Linked DNA regions of Arabidopsis thaliana. The protein of the gene in region 3 purifies or fractionates together with the protein of the main gene of each other region. This does not show direct contact. Each region holds a gene or a part of one and is shown on either strand. Other genes may lie near its edges.

Evidence for each region.
Region 1: the proteins of AT2G34970 (region 3) and MAC3B fractionate together in Arabidopsis thaliana (co-fractionation; one large-scale study listed by BioGRID). This does not show direct contact.
Region 2: the proteins of AT2G34970 (region 3) and RPN5B fractionate together in Arabidopsis thaliana (co-fractionation; one large-scale study listed by BioGRID). This does not show direct contact.
Region 4: the proteins of AT2G34970 (region 3) and MEE5 fractionate together in Arabidopsis thaliana (co-fractionation; one large-scale study listed by BioGRID). This does not show direct contact.

The regions. Positions count from the first base shown.
Region 1 is NC_003071.7:14,125,152-14,134,329, forward strand, and holds MAC3B (MOS4-associated complex 3B), read right to left. Parts: upstream 6,074-9,178; 5' UTR 5,850-6,073; coding exon 5,837-5,849; intron 5,742-5,836; coding exon 5,656-5,741; intron 5,409-5,655; coding exon 5,337-5,408; intron 5,251-5,336; coding exon 5,188-5,250; intron 4,850-5,187; coding exon 4,763-4,849; intron 4,614-4,762; coding exon 4,472-4,613; intron 4,383-4,471; coding exon 4,261-4,382; intron 4,013-4,260; coding exon 3,896-4,012; intron 3,549-3,895; coding exon 3,453-3,548; intron 3,372-3,452; coding exon 3,312-3,371; intron 2,967-3,311; coding exon 2,892-2,966; intron 2,798-2,891; coding exon 2,693-2,797; intron 2,463-2,692; coding exon 2,346-2,462; intron 2,249-2,345; coding exon 2,171-2,248; intron 2,082-2,170; coding exon 1,997-2,081; intron 1,896-1,996; coding exon 1,844-1,895; intron 1,717-1,843; coding exon 1,646-1,716; coding exon of another isoform or gene 1,641-1,645; intron 1,570-1,640; coding exon 1,433-1,569; 3' UTR 990-1,432; downstream 1-989. UniProt on the Arabidopsis thaliana protein: Probable ubiquitin-protein ligase which is mainly involved pre-mRNA splicing and DNA repair. Component of the MAC complex that probably regulates defense responses through transcriptional control and thereby is essential for plant innate immunity.
Region 2 is NC_003076.8:25,892,718-25,899,620, forward strand, and holds RPN5B (regulatory particle non-ATPase subunit 5B), read right to left. Parts: upstream 3,870-6,903; 5' UTR 3,729-3,869; coding exon 3,726-3,728; coding exon of another isoform or gene 3,722-3,725; exon of another isoform or gene 3,623-3,721; coding exon 3,428-3,622; intron 3,268-3,427; coding exon 3,160-3,267; intron 3,048-3,159; coding exon 2,943-3,047; intron 2,845-2,942; coding exon 2,788-2,844; intron 2,684-2,787; coding exon 2,487-2,683; intron 2,344-2,486; coding exon 2,244-2,343; intron 2,150-2,243; coding exon 2,037-2,149; intron 1,936-2,036; coding exon 1,782-1,935; intron 1,684-1,781; coding exon 1,606-1,683; intron 1,529-1,605; coding exon 1,310-1,528; 3' UTR 1,063-1,309; downstream 1-1,062. Other genes in the region: ABR1 (Integrase-type DNA-binding superfamily protein), read left to right, coding at 203-939; RGF9 (root meristem growth factor), read right to left, coding at 4,964-5,127, 5,293-5,368. UniProt on the Arabidopsis thaliana protein: Acts as a regulatory subunit of the 26 proteasome which is involved in the ATP-dependent degradation of ubiquitinated proteins. Acts redundantly with RPN5A.
Region 3 is NC_003071.7:14,743,773-14,750,454, reverse strand, and holds AT2G34970 (Trimeric LpxA-like enzyme), read right to left. Parts: upstream 4,220-6,682; 5' UTR 4,116-4,219; coding exon 1,923-4,115; 3' UTR 1,672-1,922; downstream 1-1,671. Other genes in the region: AT2G34990 (RING/U-box superfamily protein), read left to right, coding at 1-195; SETH1 (phosphatidylinositolglycan synthase family protein), read right to left, coding at 577-1,488; CAT5 (cationic amino acid transporter 5), read left to right, coding at 4,571-6,280.
Region 4 is NC_003070.9:1,897,177-1,906,401, reverse strand, and holds MEE5 (Ribosomal protein S5/Elongation factor G/III/V family protein), read right to left. Parts: upstream 6,452-9,225; 5' UTR 6,295-6,451; intron 6,170-6,294; exon of another isoform or gene 6,106-6,169; 5' UTR 5,973-6,105; intron 5,891-5,972; 5' UTR 5,879-5,890; coding exon 5,138-5,878; intron 5,052-5,137; coding exon 4,983-5,051; intron 4,879-4,982; coding exon 3,685-4,878; intron 3,574-3,684; coding exon 3,475-3,573; intron 3,362-3,474; coding exon 3,203-3,361; intron 3,087-3,202; coding exon 3,001-3,086; intron 2,917-3,000; coding exon 2,718-2,916; intron 2,640-2,717; coding exon 2,529-2,639; intron 2,438-2,528; coding exon 2,231-2,437; intron 1,918-2,230; coding exon 1,819-1,917; 3' UTR 1,505-1,818; downstream 1-1,504. Other genes in the region: CLE3 (CLAVATA3/ESR-RELATED 3), read right to left, coding at 176-427; AT1G06210 (ENTH/VHS/GAT family protein), read right to left, coding at 7,416-7,799, 7,980-8,261, 8,350-8,835. UniProt on the Arabidopsis thaliana protein: Splicing factor involved in pre-mRNA splicing and component of the spliceosome. Essential for reproduction. In female gametophyte, is necessary for the egg cell and central cell fate determination and hence reproductive success.

The DNA.
Region 1 (9,178 bases), 620 kb from region 3:
TGAGAAAGATTAAAATCTTTTTTGTTGTTGTTGTTGTTGTGGGGCTTGTTTGGAATTTAACTTTTTTGGGAGTTTATGAAATTCTGTGTTTGGTGGATCAGTAAAAGCTCTTTATTTTGCTTCTTCTGAGTTTTCTGAATTTGGTGTTAATGGTGAAAGAGAGAGATTTTGTAAGAGGCTGTGGATGGATGGATGACCACTCTTTTCTCTTTCTTTAGGAGATGTGGAAAAAGAAATAGGATTAGGATAGAGAGAGTCTGTAGAGAAGGGAGCGTAATTTGTTTTCTTTATTTTTTAATATAACAATCAAACACTCTTTTCTTTCTTCAGCCACCACTGACCAGTCTAAAGACAGTACAGTGAGCTTGGTGTGTGTATTGCAGTCTTTGATTATTAGATTTCACTTAAACTGTTTATTCAACACCTAACTTTTTAAAATTAGAATAACTACTCTTTTGGTTTCAATTCCATTTGATGTTTAGAATTTAGTAATGAAACCCAATAATAGTTACTTTATGAAAACACGTTTTCGACAATAATTAAAATGGAAGACAATTAGTATTATATTTACTCTGATCATCTAAAACTGGACAATTTTTTTCCCAGTAGCTAGTAAGGTTATGTATTTTGTAGTTGTTACTAATTACTATATAAAAAGTTCATCGTGTAGGTATTTCTTTAAGCTTAGTTTATGTATTTTGTAGTTTTTATACGATGATTTGTTCAAGTTATTTTAGTATTTTCAGACAAAATTAAAAAAATAATATAGACAGGGAGAAACATAAGCATTCTTTAGAATTGTGAGGAAACACGTGGTTATACCTTAACACGAATTGTCAATCCTGGTCACAATAAAGAAAGGGTATTACAAAACATTATCTTTTGCGTGAAGTTAAACTAATCCTGGAATTGCAAAAGGAATCACGAATCTGATATTCGTGGATAAATGTAAATATTGTGCCCAGTGATTTTTGACCAAGTACAGTCAAGGGTATTCTTTAACATTTAGTTAAAATTTTGTTCTCAGAGACCAGCTGAAATCATTTGTTGGAATACGGAATACTAAGCAGACCACCACTGTCTAGAACAGATTAAATAATACCAAATGCGGTTTAGCACCATCGGTTTGGGATCTTCATTAGTGTCTGAATTCATTTGGCAACAGAAAGAACACATTTTTTGGTACATATATTGAAGGTACAAAGCGATTAAAAGAGCCTATAAGAAAACTCGAGGGTTTGTGAGTGTCATTGTTTGAATTCCAAGAGGTAGCGAGGATGATCACAATCACCACTCACTCATGACCCGCACCTATGAAATTCTCCCCCATTGCTGCAAATACTGTAAGATACAACAGAACTTGAGAAATTTGAGCGAGATAACACTGGAGATGGACATTTGGAATGTTCTGTCTGAGTTTTTTACGGATTGTTCACGAGTCTTGCGCAGAGTCATCATCGACGTTGGCTTTTTCATCACCAGGAAGACCAAATATCCGTAGGTTACGGTCCATCGAACCGACTGCAACGTACTGTGCATCTGAACCAAACTTCACACACGTAGCTTTACCTGCAAGTGTAAGGGCTTCGAAATTAGCAACATTATCGCTATGTGATCATTGAAGGAGTTAGGTAAGGGACTTTACCAGTGCCGGAGAGATCTGGGAGTGTCTTGATAAGGTTCCATTCAGCTTTCACACTTGCCGTCTGGTATACTCTGCAGCCAAAACACATAAATTGTGTTAACCCAACGTGCAGATTAATCAAGCTAGCTTGGTCTCTTTGGATATTTTCTTTAGCTGAGCTTTGGATGTTTTGATCACTATTTTCAAATGTGTACTCACTTGATATCTGATGCAGCAATACCGAGATAAGATCCGCTAGGATCAAACTCCACTGCACACAAAAAAAAAGTAGGTTTAATCAAAGCGAGCTTATAATACATAGAAAGTTCTCTATCAACAAAATGAGTAGAAACAGATACGATAGTTGTGTACCAGAGTTCGCATCTGCAGATAAAAATGATTTGAAGTTCCTTAACTTGCGCAGATCCCACAACCTAACACCATCCTCTGCAGCTGTCTGTCAATTCCAGGACAAAAAGAAAATCATTCATGTAAGCATAACTTAAGCTGTATTCTCTCTTCTCGTATTTTGTTCAAAGTACTCACCGCGAGGAAGTAACCATTTTCAGAGAAAGATATAGCTGTAACTTCCCCAGTGTGTCCATCAAACTTAGCCACATTTGCCTATTATCAACCAAAAAAATGAAAACTATAATGAAGAACACTGTACACAATTAATAATTTTAATAGGTCATATAGTTTGGAAGCCCATAGTTTTTACCTGACTTTTAACGTCCCAAATCTTAACAACAGATTGAGAAGTACCGGTTCCGAGAATGAGACCATCGGGATGAAAAGCAGCAGCCGTGTAATCTACATTCTTTGAATCATCTGATACCTGAATAAAAACAAGGAATATGACAAAGGCTTTCATGAGTAAAGGAGCTCGTACTCTAACCATACACCGAACCACGGATTTTAGCTGATATGAAAATGCTCATGAAGAAAGTATAATCCACACAATTGTTTCTTGTAAATATATATAATCATTTCTGTTATATAGCATACAGGCAAAGCTAGAAAGGAAAACAGGTATTAGTTGGTTCTTTAAGGAAAGTGTTTAGGGACCTGTGCAAGGCATGAGCCAGAGGACAGATCGTAGAAGCACCATGTACCATCAAGAGATGCCGAGACAAAGTATTTATTTGTGGGATGCACAGTTACAGCTCGCACCTGAATAAAGCATCATTAACTAAAGTTACACAAAAAGTATATGAATTAAAAGAACATGGAACGGACTGTAAGAGTTCCTCAAATTCATCCTTACCTCCGCAGAATGATCATTCAATGTATACCCACAAGCATAATTCCCATCCCCAGGATTCCGCCAGATACGGACTGTCTGCAGGTAAGTCACTAATTTAGTAATAAAAAGATAACTATCGAACAATTGGTGATGTACATCCTCTGTGAAATCGAACAGAGCATCCAACAAATTACAGAGACTTCTGGTGTGAGTGATCAAAATGTGTTTTATAACTCGCAGCAAACAAAGTTTTCAAAGATAGCATCATGACATCTACAGAAAAAGATTCAATGGCTACTAGTCATCTTTTCACAATACAAATAAACAAATGCATCTGCCGGCTACTACTTTTCAAAACGAAGGCAATACACAATGTGGGATTACAATTTCCTATAGAACTAATACCAAGCACTATTCATAAAATATGACATATGAAATTACCTTGTCAGCAGAAGCAGTCAAAACAAGATCAGAGTCGCCTACAAATTTTACGCTTGTAACCTACAAAAGAATCAACACATATCAAGCATGGAGCTACATGAAACAAATTCAAACAAAAATCTAAGGCAAAAAGTTAAAAACCTTCTTCGAGTGACCAGTCAGTGTTGACAAGATTTGTCCAGAAGGGCGATCAAAGAGAACAGCAGTTGCATCAACTCCTCCAGTAGCAATGACATCCTGGTCACCGAATTAAGAAGAAATATAGTTCTGATGTAAATTTTTGCACACCAAAACTTAGCATAATATAAGATCAAAGAAATGCAAAGAATCCCTGGTCGTGGTCGTAATACAAACTATCACACACAGCATATAGGTATGTAATAGGCAAATAAAAATATTATGCAAAAAAGACATAACAATGATATGATCATTCCCCAACCAAGGACTCAAGGCTATATTCAAATAATTTATACATAGAAGATTAGAAGTTTGCCAGTCGGTTATCACATGCTATGAAGAGGCTTTCAGAAACAGAGGAAAATAAGAATAAGGGGATGTGATTAAAAAACCATCAGATGAGGGACCTTAGAATGTAGAATGTCCATCGAACAAATGCCTGGTTTGTTGGTCTTGTGAAGTGGGTGGCTTGATAGCTGAGTGAACCTCTCCAAAGTATCTATTGACGCCAATGTTTGAGGAATCTACAGAAAAATATTAAAATTATCAAGACAGCAGGAACCAATACAAAAAAAATCACAAGACTAGGCAGGAGGGCAACATTTTTTTAGTTAAGTTTCAAACCGAATACTAGGATCTAAATAGATATAGTGAGTATAAATCACATGCCTCTACAAACAAGAAAAAATACATAAACGTAGCAAGTCGTCAGGTCTTGCCTTCTAACATTCAAATGCATATTCAAAGATAGATACGAGTCTATGTGCAGTACCTGTCGCTTTTTTCGCTTCTGGGAAAGAGCAGCATTACAATCAGTCAATTCCGTAATAATTTCAGCTGAAATTCCAGGACACAATTTCTTTGCATCAGGACCCAGTTCCTCGTCAACGGCAGCTATTATACAACAAAAGAGTATAGTGACATGTTACAAGAGGAAAAAATAACTAGCCAATATATTTTGAGTAAAAAGTGTACAATCATACCTCGTTTACCATTACTCAGAGCAGCATTAGCTGTCACAGCTTCAGGGGCCGCAGGTATATGTCTCTCAACCTCGGCCAGTAATTGGCGTGCTTCGTCTCTTTCTTTTTTAAGTCTAGCAATCACACGACAAGCAGAATCATGCTGCAAACAGAAGGTAAAACAGTCCCATCAGTAGACTAAACACACTAAAAGATGAAATGAGTGAGGAAAATAAATCTAGGGTGCATAAAACAAATTTATTGACCATGGCACCTCATAAACTGGTGACAGAAACACACAGCCAAAATTACCTGATACAAGGCATGACTTAGCTCTTGCCTTGCAGTATGTAGTTGTTGCTCCAGTGCAAAATTTGATAGCATCAAACCGTCCCATTCCTAAAAAATGCAAAGCAGCTAAACTTCTCACGCAATTACTTCGAATAATTCATCCCAAAAAAATGAACAATTTATGTTGATTAGCACTCAGAAAAGGAGCAGGTGATCCGCGTAATAATGTTACTAAAGAGAAGAGGCCAATGTGTTCAGTTAAACGAATCTTGTATACATTTAAGAAACAACCTTGGAAAATTTATTTTAAGTCAATCAACCAAACTCTACATGACCAATAACATAAAACATTGTGACATTTCTTAGTGAACTTCCCATTAAGAAAACAAGCATAAATCCAAGAGAAAAGGTAGGAACAAATTTGCAAAAGAACAATTAAAGCTTACATTCTGGAACGTTCCGAGCAATCCAGGGATACTAGCTGTATGCAATGTTTTCGGCTTTATGATCTACACAATTGACAATTACATTAAAAAATCTCAAACAAATATCGTCAACAGTACTTTGCATCAAATAGTTAAAGAGATTACACTACCTCCCCAGTTTTGATGGGAACAATGTCATCAATGGTAAGTGGTTCGCCAGTAACCGGGCACTTCCCATAATCCTACAGAGGAAAATAATTTAGAAGAAATCATTCATTTCCAAGTGGCGTGATAATCTAAAAGAGCTCTCACTGGAGATCGGATCTCATTGGTGCCCAAAAGAATTTCTCGATAATTTCACAGTGCTACAAGAATCATCCGAAGTAAACCAAACAACATCACTCAAATTACGAGAAATCCTTCCAGTGAGAACAAAAAAAACAAGACGGTAAAAGTACTTGGCAGTGCTTAATTCAGCTCAAAGCTTACCGATATATGTCTTTCGATTAGTCGTCTCTCGAAGAGTAATCCTGACTTCGTCGAAACCACTGGCTCCACGGGAACTTCTCCTGAAACTGAAAGAACACAGTGCCGCCACCAACATCAACCATAAGAAAACCCTAAATCGGCATATTGAGAAAAAATAGAGAGAGACGACTGAAAGCTTTACTTGCACAGTTCATCGTAGGAAGAACGAGTGATACGACGAAGTACGAGAACTCAGGTCGATGTAGAACTTCCTGTGAGTGGGGCGGAGCAAGGGTTTTATCTTCTCCGGTCCGGCGCTACAAAGCAAAAACGCGGAAGCCGGGAAATGGTTGAAGAGAGAGACGACGATTAACACTCTCACTTGATATATTAGGGATTCAATTTAATTGGGCCTTTAACGATCACCTTCTTATATTTGGGCTTTTAAATCGATCCAACCATTAGAATTTGAAATTGACGACGTTTTATATTAGTTTTAAAATCTGTTTTAACTCATGTTGAACTAAAATTGGGCATTCAGTAATTTTGGTTGATTCATGTACATTTACTCATTAGATTATAAAACAAACCCATTGTTTTGTTACAGATTTTTTTTTGTTATATGTTGTTGCGACTATGTTTTAATCTAAAGAACGAGCACAAATATCGAATGAGACCGAGGTAGGTTTGTTCTTTGCATCTTAATCGCCTATCTTATACCCATTACCCACCAACACTCCATACTCACCAACAATCAAATAACAATTAACAACATATCCTCGATCACAACAAACAAAATCAACCGTTCAAGAGATCCTAAAAATATGTTCTAAGATGAAAGAATAAGGGATATATGTTTGTACATTTCATTGACAATTAGAGATATGGTTTATCTGTTGGTATATCGTTATGGATTCACGTTGCAAATGCGACCTCCACGGGTTCGATATACAAATTATATACCTAAGGTCAAAATCAATGGTATTTTATTTTTAATGTCTAAAGATAGGACGATGAGGGTACCATCCTAAGCACAATAGCTGTGTCCTTTCTATTTGCATAAAAGTTATATTCTTAGGATCCAAAGATGAAAGCGAACTCTCATACAAATACAATGCTCCAAGAAAAAAAGAAAAAAGAAAAAAAAAACAATGCTCCAAGAAAAAGATATTTATGAAGAAAAAATTATTTTTCATATTAAACCTAGATTGAAGAACGAGCTAATGACGCATATGTATAGTTCATATACGCATGACATTTTGTTTTGTTTTCAACCCTAAATAATACGTACGTATAACGTTTGAGATTATGTAATTAATATTGGTGAATCGTAATTATATATAGATAATTAATGGTTGATTATATATTACAGATGCACATGCATATATAAATTTTCTTCATTTTAGGTATTGGTTTTATATCTTGAAATTAAAGTGGTGGTCGTTTTCTATTTGGATAATGCGTGATGCATATATTGCATTTCAGACTTTATATGAAGATGGTCATATCTTCAAAAGTATCAATTCATCAAATCAGCTTTGATCTTAAGCTGTTTTACTTTTATTTTAATTTCCTTTCGTTAAATTTTAATCTGTAAACAATTTATTGCAATTCTCGTAATCCCAAATTCTGAACTTCTACACCCAGATAATCCTTATAATATGTGTCTTAATCGCTATTATGCACGTGTGTAGTGTAGTTTAAGCTCATACACAATTTTGTGTTCAAAAAAAAAACCTCATATAAAATTTAGTTTGTGCAGACGACTTGAAAGTGAAGTAATAATATTTTTGGACATAGAATAACTAGATAGACTCTTGACAATGATTTTCAAATGGTAGATAGACTTTTGTGACCAAAATAAGATACTGAAAGGCGATGTTGATGTCTCATGATTAGAACAAATAAAAAGAAGAGAACTATATTTTCCATGTAATGAAATAAGTGAAATACAAAAAACACTTAAGATCTACTATAGTAACCAAAAACGCTTTCAAAACCATTAAAATAATATTTTATTTTTATCGGCAACACAAGTACAAATGTAAATCGTGGGCTTAAACAAAAAGTGAATCCGTGTTTACCTATTTGAAGACTATAAATGTGAAATAAACACTCGTAAGTTATAGTTTGATGGATAACACGTACGACTCGTACTTTTGTTTGTGTCTTACGTACCGATAATGAGATCTCGAGCATGTAGCCTGTAGTCTCTACACACATATCTTCTCATATTAATTTTTTTCTGTTATGGACCTTATGGTTATTAGAATAACAAAAGTGTACGAAAGTGAAATATTCTCAATTTTGAATAACAATGCATTGACCCTATGCTCAAACTGTCACAATCAAAGCATTTTTCTATATGAAATCATTTTCATATTTTTTATTAAAAAAAATGTTCGAAGTTGGTTAAACATTGTTTTCGAATTTTATCTGATATCCCTAAATATTTTCTTAAGGCAAATAATATGCTTATTGTCCAAAGACATTTTGTCCAGTAGCATTTTACTTTAGATATCTTCTATTTTCTAATACTTTACTGACCTGGTCGAAATCTTTTTCTCTCCTTTGCGGGAAATCATGAGCCAAGTCAATAAAATTAGCAAACGAGATAAAAGATAGAAAAATGCATATCTAAATTAAAAACATAGAAACTAATTCCACGAATATAGGGCTTAATTTAGGACGATTTTCAGTCAAAAACGTCAAAATCCACGGAACAAGAATTGGGTCAAACTCATTGACCGGTCTAAATAGTTTCCTCCTACGTGAGATCCTTTACCCACGTCAACACCATTATATCTACGTGGGCTTTCCACGTCATGTGAAGAGGAGAATCGAGGGTATCACATTTTTGCATCAAGTCCACGCTGGAATATATTATAAAAATTATGTGAAAATAATTTGTACATACACTGAAACACACATGCATTAGTTTAGTATATACAAATATATACATACACATAAAACCAAAAGTATATATATATATGTATGATTGTTACGTGAAACTCCCATAACCTCTTTTTTTCCAGAAAACTATAAGAATTTGAATTTCTTCTCTGTCCAAACAGAAGAACCTTTGTTCTGTTTTTAATTCAATTACCTCTTTGTTTTTTCAGTTTTTGTTGTTTTTTCCTCCCAATATTTGAATTTCTTCCATGGATTTTCTTGTTCATCATACATCACTCATTCCAATATTATTCCACAAATCATCCTTGAAGCCTCGTTCATTAATTTTCTTGCTATAATTCATATTTTCTCGGGAATTTTCTTTATTTTCCCAGAAAGTTTTCGCATTAACATTGGAGATATACAAAGAACACAAACATGTTGCAAGACATGATCTCGTCTCACTCTCACGATCAGCTTTCCATCGTAATTCTCTTCTCATTATTGCTTTCATTTTTATTCATGCAATGCGTAGATGTTTTTGTCTTTGAAATTTTGCTTACATGTATAGATCATATAAACTCGAGTCTAATCTTATAAACTGATTAATTTTTATTCCGTAGTCTTTTATTCGGCAACTACCCTATAATTT
Region 2 (6,903 bases), on a different chromosome or scaffold from region 3:
TTCCTTTTTTTTTCTACTTGTTCATTCCTTTTGTCACCCATTTGCCTCATCACTTTCTCATACTCGCTCTTAAAAAAAAAACTTTATAATATCTTTATTGGAGACATTAATATTATCGATTCTTTTTCTTATGTAAGAAAGTGTTAATTCACGAGTGACAACAAAAGTGTGAAATTTTACATGTTTGTTTGTTTATTTGCAGTGAGAGAAGCTTCGAGTAACATGTCAGGTCCGGGCCCAACATACGAGTATACAACTACGGCAACTGCTAGTAGCGAAACGTCGTCGTTTAGTGGGGACCAACCTCGGCGAAGATACAGAGGAGTTAGACAAAGACCATGGGGAAAGTGGGCGGCTGAGATTCGAGATCCATTTAAAGCAGCTAGAGTTTGGCTCGGTACGTTCGACAATGCTGAATCAGCAGCAAGAGCTTACGACGAAGCTGCACTTCGGTTTAGAGGCAACAAAGCCAAACTCAACTTCCCTGAAAACGTCAAACTCGTTAGACCTGCTTCAACCGAAGCACAACCTGTGCACCAAACCGCTGCTCAAAGACCGACCCAGTCAAGGAACTCGGGTTCAACGACTACCCTTTTGCCCATAAGACCTGCTTCGAATCAAAGCGTTCATTCGCAGCCGTTGATGCAATCATACAACTTGAGTTACTCTGAAATGGCTCGTCAACAACAACAGTTTCAGCAACATCATCAACAATCTTTGGATTTATACGATCAAATGTCGTTTCCGTTGCGTTTCGGTCACACTGGAGGTTCAATGATGCAATCTACGTCGTCATCATCATCTCATTCTCGTCCTCTGTTTTCCCCGGCTGCTGTTCAGCCGCCACCAGAATCAGCTAGCGAAACCGGTTATCTCCAGGATATACAATGGCCATCAGACAAGACTAGTAATAACTACAATAATAGTCCATCCTCCTGATGACTTGCTTCATTTTATTTGTTTCACTATAGAGTAATAGAAAACAGGAAAATGATTATATGTTATAGAGTTATTTTTCCAAATATTATAGGGTTTAGGTTGTTTGTATTGTTCTGCTTTCATCCTCTCATGCTTTTTTTCTTAATTTATTATATTTTTGCATTATAATTTCGTTTCATTGTAACAAACATTAAAAAGACCACATGGAGAAAGGAAAAAAAAGAGAGTTTTGTATATAATCTTGCAAGGTCTCCTAAAGAACACAAAAAAAATGTGTTCGAACCAAGCAGAGAAAGAAAACTCAAATGATTATGTTAGAACGAGAGCCTGAAAGATTCTTTCCACCGATGTGTGTGGCTAGACCGGGTTCTCAAGCTCTTAGTGCAACTTTATGAACCATTGTTTCTTTGTGAATTTGGTGACAACTCTTTTCAACAAGATCCAAAAGCTTCTCCAAGTTTGTTGCCCACGAGTTGAGGATTTCGTTGCTGTCTTTAACAATCTGGAAGCAGATTATTCCTGATGGTCTGTCGATTTTTGCTATCAAGGCTTTGGACACAACCATTTCAGATAGATGCTTCTCTGCTTCCTGAAATATAATGAAACGGTAAGAAGAGATTTAAACATGTACTGGTACACTTAAGAGTATTTTGAAACTATATTTACCTCAGTGGTTAGGCATAAAAGTTCTGCAAGTCTCTTAAAGGTAATCCTTGAGTAGTACTTTGAGACAACGAGAATATTCTGCAGAAGATGTGAAGAATTTGTAAAGTTAAGACTCTTCAGTAACAATTGATGCAATCAAAGAGGTAAAGATAGATTAGAGCTCAAAGAGTCTTTACGTGTTCGATTATTCTTAGTTTGAGATCTTCACCAGCTTTGTCACCCAAAGAGCCTCCAATCATGTTTTTCTCATTCTCAAACTCGTCCTTGTATTTATTCCAGAGAGATGTCCACTGAATCACCTCCATTGTAACAATCTGTTTTAGAAGCATCCTGCAACAGAATATAAACATAGGGATTGAGAATCTGTTTCAGATGGGAACGAGGGGAAGAGTAGTGAAAACCCAAATTTTTATCAAGATAAAGAGAATTACTTGAAATCAGGAATCTCTGATAACTTTTTATCTTCCAAGGTTGCATTGAGTAGGCTCGATTGCATTGGATCATGTGGTGCCAAGGCCAAAAACCAGCAAATCTTTCTCAGGACCTATATTTAGAGGATCAAGGGAGAAAAGTTAATCCAAGCTAATTACAGAACGTAGACTACCACAAGATCATCCAAACAACAATACGAGACTTACTGGAATCCATTGTTCTGGGTTTTCCTTTACAGAAGGGATATCATATATCGCCTTGTAGCTACGGCATATCTCAATGTACTCATTGTTGTGAGAATAATACCTACACAACAGAATCAGCACATTATATTTTTACTATAAAGATCACAGAAGTAAAGGGAAATCAAAATTCAGAGGAGAATAATATTCAAATATTTTGACACCAATAACTGGCGAAGAATGTATTAAACCAAATCAAGGACTTACCGAATCATTAGCTCATAGTAAATCCGTTTTAGCACCAACAATGTAGGTATATCAGCCGGAGCCTCCTCTACCATGTTTTCACCTTCCTTAGGCTTCTTTTTCTCCTTCGTGGTATCTGCATCAAACACTCTTGGGTTGATCTTCCTAGATAAAATTTGTGCACGGACAAAATCTTTTTGATCCAAACACAAGCGGACCTTCAGAAGTTTACACACCAATAATTAGAATCACAACATACAAACAAGAACAAAGCACAAAGCACAAAGCTTAAGAAATATGAAAAGATAACAGAAAGTCTTACTTGTTCAAGAATGAAAGCAATTTTCTCAGTTTTTGCCATAGCACCAAATGTCTCCACCTATAATTCATAATCACAATCAATGCACATTGATAAACTATAAAATAAATAAAAAACGATTTCCACGAAAGTTGGAAAGTAGAGGAAGAAAAGCTTACAGCAACTTCTTGCATGAGATCCGCAGCTTCAGCAATCAAACCTTGTTCTTCCTTAATCTTAGCAAGCATCTTGGTCAAACGAGCTCTCTCGATTTCGACATATATCTACACATGCTCACACACACATATTCATCAAGAAAAAAACTTGCACGGAGTGATCAAGATTCAAGCAAATATAACTACAACAACAACAACAATAGCCAACTCTAATCCGCACCTTTCCAGCAGCTACATTGTTTAGAGTCTTAATAAGCTCAATCCGAGTTTCTATGTCTAGTGTCTGATCAATATACTGCATTGCTTGTTGCACCATGGATTGTACAGCCTGCAAATCAAGAGACCTAACCACTTTCAATATCTCACTCAGTTCTTCATTCAATTTCTCAGTAAGATTCAGAACTCAGTAGAAACCGTTCCAAGTAATCGAAAACCTTAAACTACCACAAGCAGGTTTCAAAAGCTAAATCGATAGAAAGTAGTGTGACCTGCTTAAGCTGACCACGTTTCTTCGAGAGATTCAAAATCTGTTCGTTGAGAAGTTTCCAATCCTTAGCTTCGAAACAAAGCTTAAGAATCTCGGTAGCTGCTTTTCTAGTTCCGGCGACATTTTCTGCGAGCCTCATCTGTTTCTCTTCGTTCAGCAGCCGATCAATCGACGATTCGAGTTGTCTACTTTCTTCCTGCAATCAAATCACGACATCGAATTTGACAAACCAAAATTCGAACGGAAGAGAAAAGAGAGAGAGAGAGTTGAAAATCAGATCTGTGAAATCGGAGACTTGCCATTGCTAAACGCCGGGAATCAATACTCCGAGAGAGAGAAGAAGAGTTAGTGAAACTTTCCGGTGATGAAACAGATTTAACTTCTAAAGGTTCACTGAGAGAGAGAATGTTAGCGTCGAAACCCCAACCCCTTGAACAAGAAAAGCTTAGCTCAGACTATTTGGGCCTAATTATAACGTTTTATTTATTGGGACTTTTAACGAAATAGTGTAAGACTTTTGGTGTACATATGTAATAAAAGTATCTATTGGGTCTATTAGGTAAATATTGAATAAACCTACCTGTCGCCTGTAGGGTCATACCCAAATAGCTGTTGGGTAATATGTTATGAACGAAACTATAGGATCCATTTGTAATAAATGAAAATCTAAGGTCCATATGGCCCATTTGAGTAAGTTTTTTAAGGCCCATTATCGCTCGAGCCTCGGCAACTCTCTAACAGTAACAGAAAATCCATCAATTGCTCGGATTTATTTTTCTTTCTTTTGAATCCTTCCACTTGCAGTAGAGAAATTTCACCATGATTTTACTGACTTATAAGACTAATTTATATGTTAAGACAAGGATTATTGTTTGTGGAACTACAAAATTAAGACACTAATGAATTTAAGTTCTATCCTTCTAAATGAAAGAAGTTTGGAGACTGAAAACCAATCGATATTTGTCGAAAACTTTGATCCCATATATTATTTGGTATGTTGCCTAGTTTTTCCAAAGTCCTATTACTTTAAATTATAATCTATTTGATTGTATTTTGGTATATGCATATTTTGATATCAAATATCCACAACACCTTCATGGGATGGGAGCTTCCGTAGGTTTGAATTCGATATATAAAATCAGCAAATACTCTTTTGAGGTGTAATTTTATTTTATTGGAACTAATACTACAACAGAGTTAAAGAAGATATTTGTGGGTTTCTATATACACATAATATATTATAGAGTTTTATTTCACAAACAGAAAACCATGATGCAATCCATACATAAAGCTAGCACACACAAGCTATGATTATTGTATAGAACTGTTTTCCCTCGAGATAATACTGTACACATGCATACAAAGTCGTTTATATTTATATGTTCCTATAAATAATAATAGTTTACATTCTCACTTCTTTTCTTATATAAAATACATTCTCACTTCTTATAATTTATGTTTAGTAAAAGATAAAATCTCGGGATATCTTTGGATCTCAGGATATCTCACAAGAATTCGATAAGTTCATGTGTGTTTATTAGCGATTGTGTATCGGTCTTTTCTTGTTCGCAGAATTATAATCCATATCCATCAATCCATCAACATCACTTCCTCCACCTTCGTGCCTTATTTTCCGACTCTCTTGACTCTTCTCCACAACCAATAGCGTTCTATTCCTTACTACTTCTCGTAAGCTTCGTGCTAAAAAATCAAAATGTTTATATATCAAGAACTCATTATTGGGTAATATATTTTGATATTCAACCAAAAAACAAGAAGAAGATTCATTCAAATTATACTTGATATAGCTAGAAACTCGTGAGGTGAGCGCGCTTGTGTGTATATATATATTAGCTATAAATTTACCTTGAGTAGGAGAGGAAATGAAGAGTATGAGAAGAAGTGCGACGAGGAAAGACTTGTGGGAAACCCTAATTGCCATTTTTGGAAGAGAGTTTTTTTTCTTTGGTTATATAGAATTATCTTTTGTTGAACCTTTTTGTGTTTATATATAGAGATGAATGATTCTATGATCAGTTTATGGTCCCAATTTTATATCGGAATTGAATAACGTTTTGGAAGTTATTGAGACATATGGGTCTAAGGATTTGACGTCGATATTTCTCTGTCTTCCCACATTAACATGAATCTATCCCCACAAAATTAATATTTCTTGTTTGCAAAGCAAATAAATGATGATAATTTATGCAATCACGTCTTTTGAATGAGAAACAGAATTTCGGTTACAAACTTAATTTCACATTTGTATATGTAAGAAATTTAAACCGAAACACATACCTTAACCCAGTTTAGTAATAAAAAAATTCAGGAACTTTGGTAATCAAAAGGTCGGATGAAATCACGAACGAAGATCAATGACTTGTCACCTTTGATAAATGCCTGTTTGTAGTTGATTTCTTGAAACTATCTCTTGAAAAACGTTTTTCTTCTCTTTCTCAACACTTTCCTCAGTTTTCAAACTGTCAAAATCTAACTTCTTTCTATGTTTTTAAATACAAGATCAATATATATTACAGGAAGAGGAAATGAGGTTAGGGGAGTAATAACTTGCCATGATCTATTAACCAAACCAGTTTAGATGTTGCCAAATCATGGGTGCACACTACCAGCCGACCTTAAACCAACAGTTTAGATGTACTTCTACATGATGTCTAAATTGATATAAACCATCCAGATTCTATAACCATATTCACTATAATGTTGTCTATCTCATATAGACTAGTGGGATAAAACTCAAGGAGATTATTGAAAATCGAGTGGTCCTTTGATCATGGAGATGGAGTTGTGGTCCTTCAAAGGAATATGATTTATCAGAACATTGAAAACAAATGATTAATACGCAAGTCAAATAATGGATTCGTAATTAATAACCTAGTTTACATTCAATATTGTTCTACATACATAAAAATATTTATGTAGTCAATTGTGGACGAAGAGATATATTACTAACTTCGTATCGAGACTTGTAAGAGATGATATCGTCAAGTTTGTTGTGTCATGTTTTTGGAACCATTTTCATTCATGAGTACTCTTCATTCATTATTGGGGTTGTGCGTTCATGACTTATTGTAAGAGAGGATATCTCAGCTTTACAGGATTTGAATACAAATATTAGGCTTAGAAAATCTTACTTAGCCAAATCATGAATGCGATTCTCGTTGATAACGTGAAAGTTTGATCATAAACTAAAATTTGGATTATAAATAATGGTATAAACTGGACCACAATAGTAGAATAGGGGAAGTAGATTATTGGAGTAGGGGTCGGGGACATTGTTATAGAGAGTGCTTAAATATGGCAAAAAGGACGTAAAGTTTGTTGTGTCATGTGTTTCCCAATTAGCCATTCATTACTATAACTCAATTTCTTCACCTATAATTTCCGACAAGAGTTGGTCTACTTTCTTTTTCCATTTATTTAAAATCAATCATCCAAAATTAACTATTTTTTTTATTG
Region 3 (6,682 bases):
CAGGCTAGGAGCTCACGGCGTGGTTACAGAAGCAGAAGTGCCGGAAGCGAGAGGAGTGTCTTCTCGTACCAACGGCGGATGCATTCCTTCTCTGATTGTGCATGGTCCACCTCCTGTGGCGGAGAAGCGGTGGCTCCGTCAAAGGATTCCCGCCGAATATCAGTTGAACAATCCCAGCTAGATGATCGAGTGTAGTAGATAGGCAATTTTCTTGGTGTGTGTTTTTTGCTAACAACATTTGTGTTTGTCTGTTTGTCTGTTTGCTATCATTTGCTTTTCGAACATGACCAATATTCAAGTCCAAAAAAAAAAGATTAAAATGTCAGAAGTGGGGTTTGAACCCACACCCTCTTACGAGGACCAGAACTTGTGTCCACTCGGCCATCCTAAGTCCTAACTTTATTGACATTCTCGTGACGACATCGTTTATATAGAAGATTATAATCTTTGTTTCTAGCTACAAAATCTGATCATAGATACACATACACTACAATGCAAAATCAGATCAGATTAATACAAGTCGAAGAAAAGCAAGTCTAATGAATTTCAGTTATATAAACTATCCGAAGAGTATGGTCAATCTGTAATGTCGAAACAAAGCTTGGCTTCATCCCAAGGACCATTAATCTCAAACTTATACTCTTGCATCCTAATGAGCCAATAAGGACACACAACATTGACAAGAAGCACAAGAGAAAGAAAGACAAGGAAGAAGAGTCTATGCAATGCATAAATAGAGTAAAGCGTCAAACCCATTAGAGCAAAGGAGAAGAGAAGATGCAACCCAAAGTTGAATTTCTTGATGCAGTAAGTAACAAGAGGCGCAAAGAGAAAGACTTGAAGTGAGAATAGCATCACAGCAAAGACATGGAGCCTAGAAGGAAGACGTGAAGCAACAAAGACTGATGCTACAATTGAAGCATTGACAGATATGCAGCTTGTCAAATTCGGAGTTTTGAGTGCTCCTGGAGCTCTAATGGTGGAACCAGAGTAATCATGCAAGAAGAGATGAAGCAAGAGGAGTGAAACAGTGACTGCCCATATCGAATCTGAGCTGATAGATCGCGTGAGAGTCTGGTAAATCGGAGCTAAGATATAAAGTCCCGTGGTGAAGAAGGAGATGTTGACGAGGTAACGCAAGAGGAGACTCAAAGATAACATTTTTTCTTCGGTTAAGAGGAGAATTAAGAATCCTGATGCTAAGAGAGAGAGATCAAGTAGCAAAAGCGAGTTCTCGTCCAAAGATGATTCAAGAGTGTGAACCCAAACCAAGACTACAAGCGCGACGATGCAGAGGTATTGGGAGATTGAGACAGAGTCTTTCATCACCTTGAGCAAATCACGTCTCACTACGTTTGCGTTCATCACCATTTCCTCGAGGAACGATTCGTCTGTGTAATTGTCGTCGTATCCGATTTGCATTCCTCCGTAGGCTACTTTCCTCCATTTGGGTCCCGGAATTGAGTCTCCGGCGAGATTACTTTCCATTGGGGAGGTTCCGGATTCTTGGATCCAAAATTAGGGTTCTTACGTCACCTCGATCAATTCAAGTTAGAGCGAGGGATGCGAAAGCAAACGATTCGTCCAAAGAGGAAGCTTGAATCGAGAGGAAGGAGGATCTAGTGAATTTGTGATGCTATTTTTTGAAATAAGAAAAAGTAGAGGGAGTAATTGGCAAATAAAAATTAAGAGATTTAGTACTCAAGTAAAATTATATATCAAACGATACATGTGAGCAAACTCGTGGATGAGAAAGTATCTCATGAAGCAACAGAACAGAAGACATGAAGAAAAAAAGATTATTGATGATGACAGAACAAAAAACAGAGTAGCTCTTAAAAGTAAATGATCAATCAAAATGTGAGGCCATCAACTGCATAATGAACAACTAGTTGAGAGCCATCGAACTCAGGTATACCAATTCAGTTATCTTCTTCTTCTTCTTCATCTTCATCATCTTCATCTTCCTCCTCAGATGCTTCTTTGAGCCACTGTATGAATGTATCACATTGTTTCAGATATACTTTGTCAGCTTCATCCGCGCCTGCCTTCTCTTCCTCCCATCTCAGTATCGCATCTTCTTGCAACACGTCCTTGTCATATAGAAGATGTAGAATTTGTGTGAACAAAGGGCCCAACTCTTTGTGAGATTCCTGACACATCTCTTCAAATTTCATGATCACTTCTATCTGTTCATCAATTTTCTTTGCGTAGAAGCCAAGAAGATCCTTCCATTTTGTAATGATACTCGCTGCGTTTTTATACAACTCACTACCAGAATTGTGTGGAGTATCAAGTGCCAGTTTTATCATCGAGAAAAATGTTGCTCCAGCACAATCTGCAGATTCCATGTTGAATGACAACCGCAGCCCGTTAATCTCCATAGTTACAAGGTCCACTTTGATATTCTCTTCAACAGCCCTTAAGACGGTCCCTTCAACCTCTTTCTCAAAGTAATAGTAATCATCATTGGGATCATTCACATCAGTGTTAATACTATCAGCATCAGATTTCAACTCTCCAGAAGTCGGGACGACACTTTCATCATCTGTGTCATCATCGTCTATGGCCTGAGTAATCTCAGAAAGTTTATCCTTGGGGATTGGTGCAACAGAATGCTTCCACTCCTCATCATGAGCCCCTTCACATACTTCCCATATGTAACCTGCTCCATCAGGACCAAGCTCAGATGCTTTGGACTCCATTTGCAGATTTAGGCCTGACAAATGATCCGCAGTCCCGCTGCTACTATCAGCATATTCCAGCTCTTCATCACTGTCTTCTGTCGTTGGCTGTTGAAGTAGGGAAACCTTTGAGTATGCAGGCACAACAAAGTCCCGTCCAACTACAACATTGAAAGACAAAACAACACCAGGCTGCAGAACAGCTCCTGCTCTGATTTTCACCCCATCACACACAATAGCGTTCCTTATCTCACACCCATCTTCAATAGTAACATTGTTCCATATGTATGAGCCTTCAATCACCACATTTGATCCAATAGAGCATCCATTCCCAATAACCGAGTTCATGATTTTATCCCCATGACCAATTTTCGTACCGTATCCAATGACAGTAGAAGCTCCAACATCAGCAGATCGTGATTGAACTACATCAGAAGCCTTGTATATCCCTTGTCTCCCGAGCTTTAGAGGCCGATTTCCACTGAAATTAATATCTGGTACATAAGGATATGTCCACCTCTGAATTATATCCTTGCTAACAGTGTCATAGCTTCGGAAATTATCAATCCTACCAGCATAGCTCGAGTGAATCTCATGAGTGAAGATTTTATAACCCATAATATCATCCACAAGCACACCTTTGACAAAATGACGACGCAGATGTTGATAATCAAAGTTATCCTCAAAGAGACTAAGCACTTCAGGAGAACATATGTCAATGTAGCAATCCTGCATATCATTGCATACTAAAACAGAAGGATTAGTATCCAACAATGACTTCTCTAAGCAAACTGACCCACTTGGATGATCAATCTTATCTTCCTCGTAATGAAGAAGCTGCTTTGTCAAAGGATCAACAGCAATGAAAAGCTGATCTGTTCCTAATCTTGACTGATGCGTAAGTGGAGAAGATTTAGACTGCTTAATAACCATAGTCATAATAGCTTTCTCATCTTTCTTCTTCCTCTCTCTATGCTCTTGAATCAAATCAGCAAGTGGCATATTACTCACAGTATCTCCACTAACAAGAACGAAATCACCTTGAATCTGAGACGTCTCTGTCTGTTGTTCATACATGTAACGCAAAGCATCTCCAGCACTGATGGATTTGTGCGACTCAATCGTTCTCACAAGCAAGTTTGGATGCGAATACCACTCGGATTTCTCCAGATATTCGATAACCTGCATCGAATGAGCACAACAGAAGACGAAAACCTCCTCTATTCCAGCAGATTCGAGCCATGCCAATGTGTAATCAATCATCGGAACATTAACTATCGGTAACAGTACCTTTGGGCGTTCTAGGGTTACGGGACGAAATTTCGTGGCGAAACTGTCGGCAAGAAGAATTGCTTGCAATCGGTGGCGACTCTGTACCTCCGCATCCTCTGAAACCCTAGCGGCGGCGCCGCCTTTCTTCTGAGCACCCATATCTCCTCCTCTCTCACTGATCAAATTCGATCTCACGGGAAAATCTAAAACCCTGAGTATAAACTGAAGTTAATTTATGACGAATTGAGAAAAGAGGATTAAATGTACATCTTTTAAAAATCTGAAGGACTAATATGACAATTTATCATTTTACAGCCCCCTAAGAGTAAAAAAGCACTGAATTATGTATGTTATCATCATGAATTTTCATGGTTGAAGTACTAAACGAAACGGTAAGAAGACGCCAATAAAGACAATGAGAGTTATGAAGGTGACGTAGCAAATCTAACAAGTGGGGAGGTTTATGAATGGACAGTACACAAAGTTGAGGAAAGTCAGGGAAGCTGCAAAAATACAAAAAAACTGTCTGAAACTTCTACTAGTCAAACAATGGAACAAAATTAGATGGTGTCTCTTTAGCTCTTCTTCATTAACAAATCTTTGAAGCAGAGAGAATGGAAGGTGAAGAGAGAGGATACTGGAGATGGAGCAAGAGAGATTTCTTTCCTGAGGAATCTTTCCAGAGCTTTGGTAGTTACAGAGCTGCTCTGTCTCAGACATGTTCCAGGTTCAAGAACAGGTTGGTTAGTAGGTCTGATGATGAGAACGAGCGGTTTGAGCTCAAGAAACAGAGTGAGCACGAGATGAAACGGTGTTTGACATGGTGGGATTTAGTATGGTTTGGATTCGGGTCGGTGATTGGAGCTGGAATCTTTGTCTTGACAGGTCAAGAAGCTCATGAGCAAGCAGGACCAGCTATTGTCTTGTCTTATGTTGTTTCAGGTCTTTCTGCTATGCTCTCTGTCTTCTGCTACACGGAATTCGCTGTGGAAATCCCTGTGGCTGGTGGTTCTTTCGCCTATCTACGGATTGAGCTTGGGGATTTTGCGGCGTTCATCACTGCAGGGAATATACTTCTTGAGAGTATTGTTGGAACTGCAGCTGTTGCTAGAGCCTGGACTTCATATTTTGCAACTCTTCTGAATCGTAGCCCGAACGCTCTACGGATCAAAACAGATCTCAGTTCCGGTTTTAATCTCTTGGACCCAATAGCTGTTGTTGTTATAGCCGCTTCAGCTACAATTGCATCGATCAGCACAAGAAAGACTTCATTGCTCAACTGGATAGCTTCTGCTATCAACACTTTAGTGATATTTTTTGTTATAATCGCTGGTTTTATCCACGCCGACACATCAAATTTGACTCCATTCTTGCCTTTTGGACCTGAGGGAGTGTTCCGAGCAGCTGCAGTTGTGTACTTTGCATATGGAGGATTTGATAGCATAGCAACAATGGCTGAAGAAACCAAGAATCCATCAAGAGACATACCAATCGGGTTACTCGGTTCAATGTCGATAATAACAGTGATATACTGCTTGATGGCATTATCCTTGAGTATGATGCAGAAGTATACAGATATAGATCCAAATGCAGCTTACTCAGTAGCGTTTCAGAGCGTTGGAATGAAATGGGGAAAGTACTTGGTGGCACTTGGTGCTCTCAAAGGGATGACCACAGTTCTTTTAGTAGGAGCATTGGGACAAGCGAGATACGTTACTCACATCGCACGGACCCACATGATTCCGCCTATATTTGCCCTTGTCCATCCCAAAACAGGAACACCGATAAACGCTAACCTCCTAGTAGCAATTCCAAGTGCTCTCATTGCTTTCTTTTCTGGTTTAGATGTTTTGGCAAGCCTCTTATCGATAAGTACTCTCTTCATCTTCACAATGATGCCTATCGCACTACTCGTGAGGAGATACTACGTGAGACAAGATACTCCAAGAGTTCATCTCATTAAGCTCATCACTTGTCTCTTATTCGTCGTTGTTTCTTCAATGGGTACTTCGGCGTATTGGGGAATGCAGCGCAAGGGATCATGGATCGGTTACACAGTAACAGTTCCTTTCTGGTTCTTGGGAACTTTGGGGATCGTATTCTTTGTTCCTCAGCAACGAACACCGAAAGTGTGGGGCGTACCGTTAGTGCCATGGCTCCCGTGCTTATCAATAGCAACAAACATCTTTCTCATGGGATCTTTGGGAGCAATGGCTTTTGTAAGGTTTGGTGTTTGCACTTTAGCCATGTTACTATACTATTTCCTGCTTGGTCTTCATGCAACATTCGATATGGCTCATCAGCAAATTGTGCCAAGAACATAACAACTATGGAAAACAGAGAAGAAATGTAACCTCTGAAAAGGTCTCTTCCTTCCACCCTAGTGTTATTCTGCTTTCTTCATGAACTGCTTCGTTCTGTATTCTCTGTAATCTGCAAAAAGTAAAGTTTGTATATATAAGAAAAGTCTTTTTCACAAGGACTCTTTATCAAAACATGAAATAGAGTTAAGTACACTGAATCCAAACTATGTTGCAAAATTGTTCTCTCAGGCTCCATTCTCGTCATTTAGAGTTCAAATCAACCAGTTTCGAAATCCTCTGCAACCTAAATTGACTTCATCCAGTTATCTCAAATCTGTTACTAAATTAGTTACATTGATCAAAATGTACAACGCAAGTGGCATTAAGATAGCAACAGCATCACAGCATTCAGAAACATAAGAA
Region 4 (9,225 bases), on a different chromosome or scaffold from region 3:
GGAACTACATAAAAACGAGATCATGTAAACAGAAATGCTTCATTAGTGGAAAGACAGAAAATTAACTACAGCATAAGAATATTACATTATAAGTTAAAAAGTTGTAATATCATATTAAAACTCTCCCAAAAATGTTACATTACACATTTTTTTTTGCATTCTTCTATGGTCAGTGTCAGTGATGCCTCGGGTCAGGACCACCGGGACTAAGCCGCTTTGAGTCAAGAGTATTTCCAAGGATCGTCTCTTCGCCTTCTGATCTCCCCTTCATCTCTTTTAACCTCTCAAAAAGTTCACGTCTTATCTTTTTCAAACGACTTGAACCAGAAAATCTCTCTTCGGCAACCAATGGTCGACATTCGTGCACCGATGTCAATTCGAGTACTAGAAGCAGGACCAAACAAACCCATAACTTGAGACTTGCCATATATATGTAACTTCCTCTTAGTTCTTAAAGGTGAGATATATAGTCTTTGAAGATTTTAAGGGGGTGATCTCCATATATAAGCTCAATAGCTACGGTATTTATAGAGAAGCTAAAGTCCTAATTAACGTCCATCTATGCAGAAATTAAATACGTTAATTAAGTTGGAATCTAGTCATATCTACCTAGCTAGTCCCTTCTTATATATCTCTTAATATTTATTTTTGAAAGGTCGTCATCACTTGATTGCATTTGCCTCTATTTTTAGTGGGAACGTAGTAAGTGACGTAATGTATAATTTCTGTTAGTTAAAAATTGTAAAACGAATGGAAGAAAACAAAATTATGTCTATATTGAATGACATGCATAGCTAACTGATTTCACTTGAAATAGAAACTTAAAAGCTAATAATATTTAATTGGGAGATTATTTTTTAAAAAACTCACAATTCATATTCCATAAACTAAAACATAAATTAAAAGCAATTTGAGTATTGTAGTAATTCTACCGAACCCAAATGTATATAGGATATGTGGAAAATCATTATCGTCGTTTGGTTGATGGAGCCAAATGGATATAACCAATGAAGATAAGGCATGACGTTTTCAGAGTTGGCAATGCACATAAAATAAGGTGGAGGAGACCAATCTAAAACCTTAAACGATGTATATATTAATCCACCAGGGCCTTAACTATATATTTTGTAGCTTTATTCTATGTATAATAAGTATAAGTGGTTGCCGCCACGTCCACTTCGATTTGTAAAGAGCACGTCAACGTAAAAAGCTGATTATGGAAGCATGAAATAGACGAAAATAGTAAAGCACAACAAATCTTTGAGACAAGTAGTGACGTTTGACGAATTAACCGATTTTCATTGGAGTAAAATAAGTCGTCTGTGTGCACTAAATTAAATTATGAAGAAAAACTTACTTATATCTAGATAGGTTTGTGCCATTGACCTGGTTTATCTTTAAATTTAGCATTTTTGAAGAATCAAATCTTAGTTATGCAGAAAACTCTTTGCGGAAATAGGATCTGGATCGTACGTTCTCTGTATCATATGTATAATTACTAATCATATAGACAACAAACTATGAGATCATCTTATAAATGATAGTGTCATAACCTAGTTCAGTTTCCCATAATCCAATAGTAGTTTACAATTTTACAAAAATTTGTGAACATTTCCTGTCAACTATTTGCGAGTCATGTGTGAGTGTGACCATGTGGACTGTTGAGTTCATTAAAATCTCTCAACTTACAACGTAAATTTGACACATCAATTACAAAACTGATCCACATTTTCTTGTTCTCCTTTCACATATATAGAGAAGAGAAGATACTACTACTAGTCCTGAATCACGATTTATATGAAAAAAGTGCAGAGATCATCAAATCATCTGCAGATGGAGATCGCCTGTTTGCTGGGCAAGCTCTACCATCATCGCTTCATCAAAGAATTTATTTCCGCTGACGTCTTCGCTCATTCCCTGCATAACCAACAAATTATACATATCGTGAGAGTCTGAAACTGATGATCCAAACACCCAACGAGTCATACAATATAACTAGCCTAGGATGTATCCAGCAAATTATAGCTGGTGTTACTTGGTTAAAGAGTAATTAGCAAGGGCCGGGTTTGTAAACAGTAGTTTCGGGGATCCTTTGGTTTGTGAGGGTTTACTGGGGTCATTTAACCAAACACTAGAGTAACAAATCAGTTTATGGTTTCATTCGTATCTTTAACCGCATGAAACCCACTAAGTTTTGGGATGTGCATTGAAACAAAGGAAATCATAATACCTTTCTACGGCGGGTCTTGACCATGAATTCCCGAGCTAGATGCTGAATAGGAGCGGGCTCAAGTGGGCGCAACTGGATGGCTTTGTCTAGAGGGTCTCCTGGCACAATGGCCCAGTGATCAAACACAGATAGGCAAAAGGCTTGTCCCTGAGTGTGGTACCTCAGATCTGTCTCAAACCCAAAGGACTCTATCACAGGCAGAAAGGCCTGCATCAACACCAAAGAATATACTCAATGAATCATCACTTAGTCAAATAACAGGAACAAAGTAAGGAGAAAAGACACAAACAAAACTAACCTTCACGATATAAGCTGGAGTACCGGGTTGAGGAACATCAGATGTGACATGCCCACGTCTACGTGACAAAACTGTGTAGATTGCAGTTACACAGTCGATTGGTGTTTGTATCTGCGACAAAACCATAACTCTTAGTTATCATTTTAAGAGAAAAAATGTGACGAGCAAAAATGGAAAGGGATTATGTACCTCCACATAGTAGACAGGTTCCATTAGCCTTGGAGTTGCCATTAGAAAAGCTGAATATGCAACACGTCTTGCTGTTGGAATCATCTGACCAGATCCTCTATGCAATGGCTCTGGTGCTATCCGTGCATCAACAATCTTGAACTTTACATTTCTGATGGGCTCATCACAGAGGGGACCTTCACGAGCACCCCACTGGAACCTGCAAGAGGAATAAAACGAAGCCACTTAGCTAAAGCCAACAAAATCGAGTAAAAGAAAAGTGTAACAGAAGAAAGATGATTACCCTTGAACAATGGAGTCTTTCACTGCCATCATCAAGTTCCTGTCCACCTCAGTTGGAAGGGTGTCATCCAATAATATGTTTGGCCCCTGATCAGTCGAAAATCAACAATCAATGAAATTGTCAAAACAGACATAAACCAACCATAACAATAAAGATAAAGTAAACCCCAGATTGCAGTGTTTTAAGAATACAAGCATTTCACCTGTTTGTCAGGGCCAAAAGCCCAGATGGAACGTGCAGCAAGTAAATCCCAGTCATATTTCGTCCTGAAGAAGTCACCAAGTTGTTTTCTGTTCCAGTCAATGCTTACAACGCCATTCTCAATGTCCTCTGCAAGTCCTCTATCCAATGGCTCTGCAATCTTTAGCATGAAACAGATATCAGATTTTTCACAAAGTAATTGTGCTTGAGCACCATACCAAACATCGCAGTCTAATATATAAGAGATAATAGTGGAAAAAGAAGATCTCTTACCATAGTTATTTTGTTCTTTTTGTTTGGTGTCTCAGCAAAACACTTCATCGACGAAGATTCAACCACTGTCTCACAGAAGGAGACCACCGGATCTGCAACCTACAAATTTAAGAAAGCAAAAGGATCTTAGCTATCAAACAGCCAAATCAGCAATTTGCTTGCACACCGGAATCACAGTCATAGAGCCAAATTAGAGATACAATTAGATACCTTTACTTCGACCTCTGAATAGAGCTCCCTGAGGTCCTTCATGATTGAATCCAAGTACAACTCACCTGTGCCTAGAATAGTATGTTCCCCAGACTCCTCAACTTTGGTAATCGCAAGGGGATAGCTTTTGCTAATTTTCCTAAGCCCTTCCACCATTTTAGGCAGCTCACTAGGATTCAAAGGCTCAGTTGCAGTCTTGACTACTGGGAGGGTATTAAATTGGAGAGCCCGGAATATGTAGACATCTTCATCATAGCTTGCATTACACAGAGTCGCAGTTTTCATGATGGATGCATCGACACCTTCAATTAAAACCCAGGAACCGGGAGGGGCACTGCTTACTGGTATTCTATACCTAGCTTGATATATCCATAGCTTCGTCACTTCTTTTATAGTCATGTCCTCCTCATCCTCAGGTGAATACCCTTCTCCTAGTACACGTACGCTTTGCCCTGTTTGAAGCCTACCACTATAAACTCTTCCAAACACATCAAAAACACTAGTATCTGATTTGGGGTACAACTTTGTCACATTAACCATGAGAGGTCCAGATGGATCACATTCTACCATTGATTCATAAATGGGGGAATCTTTGGTTCCGGTATATGAATGGTCGACCTTCCTAGCTGCAGCCTCTCTGGGTGAAGGAATGTGCTTTACCAACATATCAGTGAACCCTGATGCCGAACCAAACACTGAACTACAGGCTAACCTAAGTAGAGGTCTGACGTTCAGCTTATATGCACTATTACTCAGAGTCACTCCTAATTCTGCAAGGGTGGTCTCTACACTCTTCTTATGTTCACCTATCACTTGGCTGTATATCTTGTATAGGGGCTCCAGAATAAACTGAACAAATGCTCTTTCTCCACCACCTACTGGAGGACTTCTCTTGAATACCCTAGTATCAGAGTGATAATATACATCTCCCCAAAGTCGAGATGCAAACTTATCCACGTCCATGGCCACACCATGAAGCTTGGCATACATTTTAGCAAAAGATTGTAATGTGAAGGACCATCCGGCTGTACCACTGGCAAAACATACATTTCCAGCTGCAGGGTCTATAAGAGGTAAGTCTCCAGCAGTTGTTGAAGCAGCAGATATGTGGTTATTAATGACTTCAATTGTATGCCTCAGCTTGTAGTAAGCATCCCTTGGAGGTAGTTTGAGCTCAGTTATGAGCCTGTCAACCTGTTGGGGGAAAAAAATTGACAAAAAGCAAAGGTCAAGCAAATGTATGGAAATATAAAATTTCACACAGTATCTCTTAAGTTACACGTTGAAGCATGAAGTACCTTATTGATAACAACTACAATAGGGAGATGGTCCTGGATTGCATGCCGTATAGCTCTCTCTGTGTTAACCTGAAAAAAGATTATTAGCGTCAGTACAAATAGTATACTTCAAAAAATTAAAAATACAGACCAAAAAAGAGAGAGTAAAGACTTACCATCACTCCTTCAGCAGCATCAACAATCAGAACAGCACCATCAGCAAGTCTTAAAGAAGCAGTCATTTCGTCAGAGAAATTGACATGTCCAGGGGTATCCATGATATTGCACAGGTATGATTTGGATCTACTGTCCTCAAGGACAAGAGACATTGGAACCGCCTTGATTGATATATTTCTCTCCTGCTCATCGACTCGTGTGTCTGTATATTTCATATGCTTCTCGTTTTTAGCATTAAAAGTAGACATATGATGCGTCTGCTCTACCAACATATCCATGAAGACAGTTTTGCCGTGCTGTAGATGCCCCACAAGAGCAACATTCCTCACAAGCGCAGGATTAGACATGAGGCCGATAAGAAACTGTGTTGACACATACGTTGCTTGATCTTTGACCCCCACCTCAAATCTAATATCTCTAACAGGTTTGATAATGGGTTGCTCAAGAGGCTGCTCATCTTCATCCATAACCAAGGTCTCAACATCCTCACCATAAACCTCCTCAGCAGTAGGGTAGTACTTCTTATCCTCAGGAAGAACAATTTGGTTCTCCATCTCAACATCATTGATAGTGGTAATCCAGCCATTAGAACCCCCAGGCCCTTGTTCGCCATCGGAACCATTTTCTTCAAGATGCTTATCTTGGAGATCTTCATCTTCTACTTCATCATCACTATCTCTGTCAGACTCAATCTCAGGTCCAACATAGTTACCAAACTCATCATACAAGCTACTTTCCATCTTTATGTAAACCTGTCAAAAAAGAATCCCATGAGCAATCAGGATTTTGTAGCAGATAAACAATAACGGCAAAAAAGTCAAATGAGTGCATTACCACAAAATCAAGCTTTTGATAGATCTATCTGGGTTATTTACTATAGCAATTCTGCAACATATTTTATTTAACCCATTGGCGAGTAATCTCCTCTAATGCTCAACACCAAGTCCAAGAGAACACCATGAAAAAGCTAGAATCAACCAGAAACTTAAGGTAATTAGACTAGAGCAAAACCCTAGGAGAGAATCGAGCAGAAGCTTATGCTAAGTTGGACTAAAGAAAAACAACAAGGCGAGAGTCGAGCAGAAGCGTTGGAGTAGAGCAATAACCTAGGGTAGAATCAACAAGCTGAACAAAGTTAAGGAGTGAGAAGACGAACCGGTGGGGAGAGAGAGCGAGAGGCGTTGCGATAGCTAGAGGAAAATGCGAGTTGGCTCGGCAATAGGGTTTGTCGCCACTGAGACTGTTATCGCCGGAACAAGGGAATGAAAAATTTAGATTTAGGTTTTGATTGGAAGACTCTACGTCGGACAGAGAGTTTTAGTCGGTATATATTGATTAAATTATAGTAATTGAAATCTATTTGTAACGATGTGGGATATGTTGATGGGTCGGGTCCAATTATATGTCAATCGGCCCAATTTAGAAAAAATTGAAACGTCTAAACCAGAACGTAAACCGGGTTCACTATGTTTACTGCAGAAAAAATTCAGTAAAAGTTTTAAAAGATGTTTGCGTTTTGCGATGGATGAAGCAAAATTAGTCGTATGTCACTTAGGAGTTCATTTTAGATTGAAAGCTGCGATTTGAAGAAGATAGTAAGCATAACAAGATGGTTATAATGATTACATGAAGACAGTTCTTTACTCAAGTGTAGTGGGAAGTATCATATACTCTTCAATCGGTACAAGCCCTTATTTGGCTTTGTTGGTGACAGGGGTAAACTTTTGGAATATCACTGTGAAGCATCGTCCAAGAGACAGTGAGAAGTATCGTATAGACATATACTCTACAATCGGTACAAGACCTAATTTGGGTTCTCTAGTTGGTGATAAGGGTAAACTTTTGAAATATCCCTGTGTAGCATCGTCCAAGAGACCAAGACTCCGATTATTATTTGACTTGAGAAGACTAAACACATTAAACACATTAAAGGTTAGACTTCGTTTTATCATTTCGAGCGAGTTTATCGGAGAGTGAGGTGAATTTTATCAAGCCATTTATATAATCCAGAGGAGATGTAGATACTCACCTCTCAACACATAAGCAATAGGCTAAGTGCAAACCAAAACACCTCGTATAAATGTTTCGGGTGAAGATTCACCTACGGTTTAACAATGTCTAAGAAACCACTTTAAAACAGAAAGTGAGAAACGAAGCTAAAAAGGTTCCACACTTATAATGGAAGTACATTGTTATAATTTAAAAGTAAACCATCAAGAACAACTCTTCGCAACATTCTGATATCCATGTCGGAAGAAGACAACAAACACAGACTGCTTATTTTTCATCTTCATCACTCGAAAGCCCCAGTTCTATTTTCACGGCCTGCTTCTCTTCTTTGACGGTTTTGTTGGAGGATCCTGATGCTTCTGAATGTTTTTTGTCATCATCAGCACCCGTTTTCTTTACAGGCTCTTGTTCTTCTTGTTCTGTTGGTTTCGGACCAGTATCTTTGCTTCCTGATGATTCTTGTTCCACAATGGAGGCTTTCTTTTCGGTTTCATCAGGCTTCTTGTAACTAGATAAAACTTGTTGGAGCTCATCATTCAGATGCAGAGCCTCGAACAGGACTCCCTCGTCGTCTGTTGTACTCTCTATGATCATTTGAATCAATGGCTGCGATTGCTTGCATTTCTCCATCAGGCTAACCGTTAGATCGTCCTGTAACCATAATATATATAAACCTATTACTTATCACTGTCCTGTCAATTTCACTTTAAGCACATATATCCAAGGAAACAATAATGTAAACCAGGAGATACTCATAACTCAATCCATATTCCATAGACATTTGTTAAGGAAAATGACAAAAGTTAGATGAGCAGACAACGTAGCAACTACCTCTGTGTGATTTGGCTTTCCTTCAGTATTCAACATGCTAGAGAGCAATTCGAGGCTGTTCCGTGTAATCTCAATCTGTTCTTTCTTATCCTTTATCGATAAGTTCCCAAAGTTATAGTCAAGACCATCATCGTCCCCAAGAGCCTGTTCTTGATTAGGAACCGGATAGCTACCAGGTGGAGGCACTGGAACAGGCCGTTGCATAAGAGACTCCAGAGAACTTTGTCCCGGCATTGAATTCTCTTCACCTCGAGCGTGTAATCCATTTTCGCCTTCCAAGCTCTATGAAACAAAAGACAAGCCGGAGATTATAGGCATATGAACAATTCCATCTTTGCATAATAAGCAAATAAGATTCAGAGAGATTTACCATATAAGTCTGGTGGAAAACAGGAAGATAAGTAAGATCTTGGGATTGTCCCCAAGCTCTAATAAGCTGAAAAGCTCGCTTTCTGTTCTCGGAATCAGCTTCTCCGTTCTTGATTAACCAAACCATCTCATCAAGAACTTTCTCAGAAGCAACTTCAGAGAAAACCTTCTCGCAATTCATAGCACAAGCCTCTAAAAGCTCAAGGCTCAGCCTTTGGCTCACAGGGCTCTTACCTGAGATCTTCCTCTTGATAGCTCTAACAATCTCAGTGCCGTTAAACTCATCGTTGTTAATCTGAGCACAAATCCTCATGTTCATTCCCCAATTAGGCTCCTCTAAAGTCTCTAAAGTAGCTTCATCCACCATTTTGGATTCCAAGGTTGGAGCTTGAAGCATATCTTTCACTTTCTCACTCACCATTCTGCTCATCTGAGCTCCACCAGTCTTCAGCTTCTCTCCCCATTCTGCTATCTTCAATTTGTCCATATTCTCTGCACAATTTTCCCAGACTTTGCTTAATTTAACGAAGCCCTAAAAAAACCCTAATTTGATTTCCGAATCAGTTTCGAGTCACCATCGTTCTATATAATACTAAACAGTACAACCGTAAACTCCGAATCGAGATCAATCAACCAAAATCTAAACGAATAGAGATCAGGGAAGAAAACAATTACAATAAATTGGATCTATAAATTCAAATGTGCTGATCCTTGAGTACACTAGAAAAAGAAGAGAGGAGCGAACAAACCTGCGACGAAGTTTATTAGAGATGATCAAATTCAAATCGTCTGGAAAATTTGTTGTTGTGTTTGGTATTTGTCTTTGATTATTTTAGCTTCAATCTGCAAGCAAATCTGTCGGAAGGAAATGTTAAGA